Arabidopsis thaliana: one gene and its partner. The protein of the gene in region 2 interacts with the protein of the main gene of each other region in a pairwise test. Each region holds a gene or a part of one and is shown on either strand. Other genes may lie near its edges.

Region 1 (3,404 bases), 3.7 Mb from region 2:
GCTTGATCTTGATCTCCAAGAAAAGGTAGAACTATTACAGGGGCCTATGACCGTTTTTCTTCCTCTATGAATCTTGGCACACATCTCTTTCTAACTTATGCTACTCGGAAAATATGTTTCAGGCTCTTACAGCAATCCAAACTCTTCTTCAACTTAAATCCATAGAGCCTCAGGTTCTCAAAGAGTCCTGCGGGTTGGAAGAAGCATTAGAGAGAATGAAGCTACAGCTGGAGGAATCAATGGCGGATGAATACAAGAGAGACTATGCTGCAGATGTGGAGAGCATTCGTGGTGAAGTGGAACTGATCTTCCGCCAAAAGCTTGGACTTTTATGAACACCATGATCAGTAAGAAAGCAACTCCCTGTGCGTTAATTTCTGGTGGGAAAAGCTTTAGCTGTAGGAGTTGTAGACAAATTCTAACTGCCTTAGATAGACTTAAGATGTGTAACTTAGGCGGATCTTGCTGATCCATTTTGCATGTTATTGCCTCTACTCGAGCGGGTTTCTTCCCCTCATCTTTACTTTCATATCATGTTTGCAAGGTTTTATGTATAGTATTATGAACTTCCACAATTTTCTTGATTCGTGTGCCATGTAAATGATGGGGTTGCAGAAATGTCGGTTTTACAGTGTTAGAAAAAAATAAGTTAAAATAGAGATCACTCAAGCTTTGTCACACGGCAGGGTTAAAAAAGATATGCGGTCAGTTTCCTCCTGACCTCGACTGCAAATGCGCCTATGGCTGCGTACTCATCAAGAGCCTTCTCAACTATGTTGCACCGATTAAATTCGGGCAAGAACAGCCACAATGCCGTCACCATCACAAAAGTGAGTGTCAAAACCTGACTGATTGCTTTCGGGAATCTCCACCTACCGTTAATGGTTTTCTTGATGGCGATCTCCACGGTCGTGCAAAATCCATTTATGAGGAAGAACCACATCATCTTCCAGTCTGGCCTCAACCGTCCCATGTAGAAGAAGATGAGCTCGTGCATTATCCCAGAGACAACAAACGTCCCGAAAGCTGCAAGAATCTGGGAATAGTTCGGGCCCAAAACCGAGAACAGTTGAAGTGACGGTTCGTACACGGTTGGCCGTAAGATTCCAGTGACCATCAGGTTCCATCGTCTCCCCCAGAAATCTTGAAGTGATGTCGCTAGGTACGGCTTGTTGAACTGTGGCTCGAGCTCAAGATCCGACATGGCTCGAACCGCAGCAGCTGTGGCGGCAAGGATGATCTCAAGGGCGAAATATATGTGGATCGCGTAGAGAGTCAGCACGACTTTCTCAGGCAATTTGGTACTGTATTCGTAGGCTTTGATGATGAGAACCACAAAAACTGCCTTTATGGTATAAATCAAAGGACCCTCTGTGGATCCTTCATGGGAGTGAGTTTTTGTAGGTTTTGGGCTCAGCTGAATCTTGATGGGCAAGCAAGAGACAGCTAAGAAAATAGGGAGAGATAGGGGTTTATGGTTTGAAGAGAGAGGACCGCGCCCTAATGCAAATAATAAGAGCTTGAAATTTGCTAGCCAAGCGATGAAGAAAGCCGTGATGCCGAGTAAATGTAAGGAATATATCAAGAAAGGTACTATGAAGAAAATGAGGAAGACAGGGAAAAATAGTATGAGCCTTTTGATTCCTTTTGGAACCAATTTGGCAATGAAAAAAGTGTAACACAGTGAGATGATCACTAAACCCCATGCCTTGATGAAACTCGCCATTTTTGCTTCTTGAACTCAAATCTCGTCGGGAAGCAAGATGATGATGATAAACACGTTTACAAAACGTGTCCGCCAGCGAACACTAAATAATGATAGAGACGTGCAATAAGTTAAAATCCATGAGAAAAGTCTTCTTCTTTTTCTATACGAAACAATTTGACAATTGACATTAAAGAACCAATTCTCTTTCTTATAATATATTATTCATTGGGGTCTGGGGATATGGTAAATGGCTTTGCTTATTGTTCCGTCGTAATTTCTAGTAATAAAACCATTTCAAAGTTTGGTACAGACAAAAAAAAAAACATTTTAAGGTAATCTCAAAACCAAAAAGCCTATCAATCTTTGTACTTGGATGTTTTGTTGTTGCAAGGATTGCAGAGGAAACCAACGAGTTTCTAACTTTGATTCTCTGTAAGATTTTTCTTTCTTGGGCCATGTCAAAAAATTATAAAGAGTTGACTACTGTTTTATTCATCCACTATGTTAATCAAGAACATATTCTTCAACACCATCTTTACTTTAATCAAAAACCCTAATAATATCACCATAATTCTATGTCCCAAACAGAACAGGTGTTTTCTTTGGAGATCTTGAGTTTGGACCTCAGAATCAAAGATATATAAAGATGAATGAGGAAGAAGATAAAGATCAAGATCGAGTAACGAGAGGATGTAGTCACACTCATAGCTGTAACCCTCCAGGCCCAGAGGATGCTTCTCACTCCCACACATGCTTCCACGCTCACACTCATCTCATCATCTCTGTAATAATATCTCTTCCCTTAAGATATGGTATGTTTCTGATGATATTTTAATGGATTGTTATAGATACATATTTTTATGTTGCAGCAGGATCAGCAAGAGAATGATCATTCTGACAGTAGCAACAAGAAACGGTTATGTGGTAATAGAGAGGCAGTGAGGAAGTACAGGGAGAAGAAGAAGGCTCGCACTGCATACCTTGAAGATGAAGTGATGAGATTGCAATCTCTGAATGAGCAATTCCTTAGAAAACTTCAGAGCCAAGAAATGGTGGAAACTGAATTGATCAGACTCCGGGCTCTTCTGGTAGAGATGCAGGGGAAAATTGAAGTTGAACTTTGTAGTTTCTCGTTTCAGAAACAATGCAACGGTTCTGGTTTTGTGTTCAAAGAAGGTGATTTCTCCTACTATTTGGTTTACTAGTTGAAATTGGTTGTCAACAATCTGATACGTTGATGAAAAATTTAGCATTAAGAGGAAGAACTAGTAAATAGCTAATGAAATTTGAGCTACTGAAATTTTATTGAACAATACGAAACGCTAAAGAACTAGTTTCATTTATTTGGTTATCGTCTTAGTAAAAATCACATTTTCGAATAATGAAAACGTAAACTAATAGTAAACCATTCATCACCATCATTTTTATACAAAAGTGACCTAGACCTAATCTTGACACAATTTTGGATCTCGTGTAATCACACAGATGGATGCAACTTAGCAACAAGTAATATGATGTGTGAAGCGGCAAGAGTGGAGTGCGAGGAGGGCCAAACACTTCATGATCCTATTCAATCTTTTGTTCCTCAACCACCACCATTCTCACGTTAAGCGTTTACGGGCTGTGGTATTGTGTGTATATATATACATATGGGTTTAATTAGGGGCATAGAGGTCGGATTCCAATATAGTTAACA
Region 2 (4,602 bases):
TGTAGAGAGATCTCTGTTTATAGGTTTGTACCTTTATATGCATTGCTTAAAACCCTCCAGCTGATTCAGCAGGTTATTCTAATGAACAAGGTTTATTTTTTCCTTTATTAAAATTTAAAAACCAATTAATAAAATTTAAAATATATATATATAACGACGCGATTTTTAGACTTTCTTGGGAGCAAACTTAGATTTGATTTTTTCGATTTCTTTCGTTCCGATTTGAAACGTCGTCGTTAAAACGTGATCCGGAATCGCCGGAGTGGCTGTGAATAGCGTGGCGGCGATCGATTGTGTTCCCGGTAATTGACTGTTGAACGCAGAGATCACCGACGCCGGTTTCGCTTTGTCGTTGTTTTTCTGGTAATGAATCAATCCTCTAGGGAAGACGAACACTTCTCCTTTCTTCACCGTCTTAGCGAAGAGCTTGTTCGCCGTCGTTATGAATCCAACGTCAAGCTCGCCTTCCAAAACGAAGATCACTTCGGTGGCGCGTGGATGCGTGTGCGGCGGGTTTAAACCTCCGGGAGCGTAGTCGATACGCGCGAGTGAGACTCCGAGCGTGTTAAGCCCTGCGATCTTCTCTACGTTTGCTCCCGTGACGGCTGACCCGACTGTGTTGTTAACGACGGCGGGTTTTCCGATTCCGGCGAAGAAAAAATCTGAAGCGGTGATGTTTGATTCGGGTTTACATGTGAAACCATTCACTTTTATCCCTACATAATCCAAAAACGACGACATTTCATTACTTTAACAAATCATTCAAAGTAGACAGTAAATTTAATTTGAAGATATATGTGTACCTGAAGTGCGATCCGCAACGCAGAGATCTTGAAGTGTGTCAGGATCGTAAGCAAGAACAATCACATTTAGAGATAACAAAGTAAAGAAGAAGCCAAAACATCTCGAGTCCATGGTTTTGACTTTTGATGATGTACTGTAGAAGAACAAGTAACTAGATTTGAAGCTCTAATTTGAAACTGTGTGATATGTTTTTGTTTCGATTTGGATCGTTATAAATATTTGAATCTGTTTGAGGAGAAATTATGCATAGCTTAACTAACTTAAACGCAAAGCAAAGCTTGGGAGTTGGAGGAAAGATGTGATGTCGTTTTCTTACACATGTACATATTTAATCTAACTTTTAAGTTTTGGTTTTCGTTAGCTAGAATTCTTGGTTTAACCGAAATATATTCCAGATCAGAGATCTATAGATCAATAATAAAAAGTTTCAGTTTCAAATTCTTGGTAAGGAGTTGGAAAGTTAATTAAAAACTTGAGTGACAAGCATTTTCTTATCATGATGGGCTGGGCCTGGTAGATAAACAAATAGGCCCACTTGTGGTAATCATCGATAGGGTAAATTAAATCGAGGTGTTAGGTTAAAGCAGATCCGTGCCTTGTTTGGGCCATGGTGCGGCCCAAGTGATGTTTTTCCTGGATTGACAAAGAAAGTTACTCAATTACCCTACAGTTACATGGTTGTGAATGTGCCTTGGCAAGGGGTAGAGTCGAAATTAGCACACGACAACCAGTGAAAGCAAACCAGTAAATTTCACTCATCCACAACCACAGATAAATCTAACTAAAACCCTCTCAGCTACCAAACAATCTCTTAGCGGATGAGAAATATCAAAGTACTCTTGGCACTCAAGGAACCCACCCCCATCAGCAATACAATTTCCTTATGTAAGCTTTGAATGGCTTTGGCGAAAACTCTTAGCTGATGTTCCGTTTACTTCTTCTCCCTTACGCAGTCGGTGCTCAACAGAAGCTGTTACAAACTCCAAGAGAGACGAAAGTTGCTGATGCATGGTACAGCAAATTATGTGTGTTTAAATAATGTCCAAAGACTGTAGTAGCTTTGTGTATGAAAACATGAACAATTTTGTTGGTTCTTGGAGTTTGTGGTTTTGATCTATTGAGTGTGAAATAATAGACAAAACTAATCTTGCTGGTCTTATGATGTTGTTCATAAAAACATGATTTTGTTCTAGGAATATTAAATGCCAAAATCTGTAAGCAGTTAAATTTTCAGAGAATGATATCAAAATTTTGGAAAATTAAAAATTGTGTGCTTTAGAAAGAAAAAAAAAGGCTTTCTACAGCAAATAATAAAAAAAGGCTTTCTACGGCAATTGTACTTGATAGTCATCCGCAACCACAGGTTTAACCCTAACCCAATTTTTTGTTGTAACTTAAGAGAGAAAGCATTTGGATAAATGACTTGGGCTGGGCCTAAAAGAAATTAAAAATAGGCCTCTAGCTGTCATTATCATTAGGCGTAAGTTAGCATGAGATGCTAAGGATACCACCAATCCATAGAGTTGCTAACTTAAAAAACAAGGCTCGAGGCGGTTCTCTTATCTGCAAAACTAAAGACTGTTGTCTAAAGCGAACCAACAAAAAGTCTTCATCTTTAATCATTCAATGGCTTCTTCGTCTTCTATGCAGATGGTTCACACTTCCCGCTCCATTGCCCAGGTTCTAAACTTAATCCTACATTTGCGGTTTTTTCAATTTTCGTCGAAGATTTATGCTTTGAATTCTATCCTTTTTTCTTCTTCACTTTAAGTAGTGTGTCTCTGTGAGTTAAAACGAAATTTCAATCGGATACTATTCCTGTTCTTGTGGGTTTTTTTTGGTCTTAAATCTCTTTTGTTTGGTTTTCTGTGTAGATTGGGTTCGGTGTTAAGTCGCAATTAGTTTCTGCAAATCGAACAACTCAATCAGTTTGCTTTGGAGCTCGTTCCTCTGGAATTGCATTATCTTCGAGATTGCACTATGCATCACCCATTAAGCAATTTTCTGGGGTTTATGCGACCACCAAGCATCAGAGAACCGCTTGTGTTAAATCCATGGCTGCTGTAAGTTACTTTTTTCATAAATCATTCATGTTCTGTTGCCTTATGGATTCGTGTTGATTTTTGAACTTGGTTTGTAGGAGGAAGAAGAAGTAATCGAACCTCAAGCTAAAGTGACAAACAAGGTTTACTTTGATGTGGAAATTGGAGGTGAAGTTGCTGGCAGAATTGTGATGGGTCTCTTTGGAGAAGTTGTGCCTAAAACCGTTGAAAACTTCCGTGCCTTGTGTACTGGTAAGCTCCTTATCAAAATGATGTTTAAAGTTTGGAACTTTATAGACACAATCAAAACCATTGTCTAAAGGAAATTGATTTCTTCAGGTGAGAAGAAATACGGGTACAAGGGTTCCTCTTTCCATCGTATTATTAAGGATTTCATGATCCAAGGAGGTGATTTCACCGAGGGAAATGTAAGTTCTTTCCAACAAGTTACATTTCAGACTGTTTGTTTGTTATTTTGATATTTCTTTCTAAATCGTCTTTTTCGATATGGTCTCACAGGGTACTGGAGGTATTAGTATTTACGGTGCCAAGTTCGAAGATGAAAACTTCACCCGTAAGTACTCACAAACAAAGAAAAACTCTGGTTTTCTGCAAATATGGCATTACTTCTTTGAGGTATTAATGGTTTTGTTTTCCGCATTTGCAGTGAAGCATACTGGACCTGGAATCTTGAGCATGGCAAACGCTGGTCCTAATACTAATGGAAGCCAGTTTTTCATTTGTACCGTCAAGGTAAAGATTCTCAATTCTTCACATCATCTATAGAGTTATCGATCTTTCATATGTTTGCCTTCCCATTTTGATTAATATTTATTTCACAAATTTGTTTTTTTGTGCAGACTTCATGGTTAGATAACAAGCATGTCGTGTTTGGACAAGTAATTGAAGGTATGAAGCTTGTTAGGACTCTTGAGTCTCAAGAGACTCGCGCTTTCGATGTTCCCAAGAAAGGTTGTAGAATCTATGCCTGCGGAGAGCTCCCGTTAGATGCTTGATAATCACTATTGACCGATGCATTGTCTTTGCCATCTTTGTTCTGTTTTTTGCTATTATGACTATTGAGGAATCCAAACCATCAAAAAGCCAAAGATTTTCAAATTCTGGTCTTTTATTTATTATATATTTCGGATACATGAGTTATAAGTTCTTTTAATCGATGTGGGATTCTTATTAGAATGTCTCTCTAAGCATTGACCATGGTTGCAACCGCGGCTTGCTGAACAATTGGCTCGAGCTTCTCATCTTTGTTGTCTTCCCATAAATCAGGTATTGCTTCCTTTATGTTATGAATGCTGCTTAGTGCATAGTCAGCACCTGGAACTAGCACTGATTCCCCCACAAACACGGTTTTTAGCCCTGTTGCTTTAGCACTAGCGATGTTACGAATACTGTCATCGAAGAATATCTGAAAAGAAAAAGATATAGACTTTTAAGTTTGGTATCTGAAACTGTGAAAGATCATAGTGACTTTTCTATTACCGTTTTGCGTGGATCAACAATGTCTGCAATGCGAATTGCAGCTTCAAATGCTTCAACAGAGGGTTTACAGAGGATTTGAGTGTTTGAATCAGAAGAAGGGTTTAGTGTTTCGAAGCAAATGATTCCTTCAAAGCAGTCCTCAAGACCCAATCTGTTGAGAGCTCGTGTTGCGTGAGCTTTGTCTGCGTTAGTAAAGATCTGTTCGAAGGGAAAATGAAAAAACAGAGGATGAGAAAAAAAGATTCAGTGGAGAATT

Evidence for each region. Proteins that work in one complex are often made in the same cells at the same time.
Region 1: the proteins of ROC4 (region 2) and ASAT1 interact in binary tests that used the Arabidopsis thaliana proteins (3 or more experiments, as listed by UniProt).

Annotation. Positions count from the first base shown.
Region 1 is NC_003074.8:19,282,742-19,286,145, reverse strand, and holds ASAT1 (acyl-CoA sterol acyl transferase 1), read right to left. Parts: upstream 1,808-3,404; 5' UTR 1,727-1,807; coding exon 689-1,726; 3' UTR 564-688; downstream 1-563. Other genes in the region: AT3G51980 (ARM repeat superfamily protein), read left to right, coding at 1-25, 123-335; BZIP24 (basic leucine zipper 24), read left to right, coding at 2,082-2,140, 2,297-2,492, 2,578-2,884, 3,194-3,318. UniProt on the Arabidopsis thaliana protein: Involved in the esterification of cycloartenol. Not implicated in the formation of sterol esters in flowers or during seed maturation. Has a substrate preference toward saturated fatty acyl donors (16:0 > 18:0 > 16:1 > 18:1).
Region 2 is NC_003074.8:22,971,278-22,975,879, forward strand, and holds ROC4 (rotamase CYP 4), read left to right. Parts: upstream 1-1,726; coding exon 1,727-1,815; intron 1,816-1,997; coding exon 1,998-2,018; intron 2,019-2,286; exon of another isoform or gene 2,287-2,381; coding exon 2,382-2,484; intron 2,485-2,678; coding exon 2,679-2,867; intron 2,868-2,944; coding exon 2,945-3,098; intron 3,099-3,185; coding exon 3,186-3,274; intron 3,275-3,365; coding exon 3,366-3,420; intron 3,421-3,513; coding exon 3,514-3,599; intron 3,600-3,706; coding exon 3,707-3,862; 3' UTR 3,863-4,050; downstream 4,051-4,602. Other genes in the region: GLP10 (germin-like protein 10), read right to left, coding at 166-716, 804-915; AT3G62040 (Haloacid dehalogenase-like hydrolase (HAD) superfamily protein), read right to left, coding at 4,051-4,272, 4,347-4,544. UniProt on the Arabidopsis thaliana protein: PPIases accelerate the folding of proteins. It catalyzes the cis-trans isomerization of proline imidic peptide bonds in oligopeptides. Required for the light-induced increase of thiol accumulation.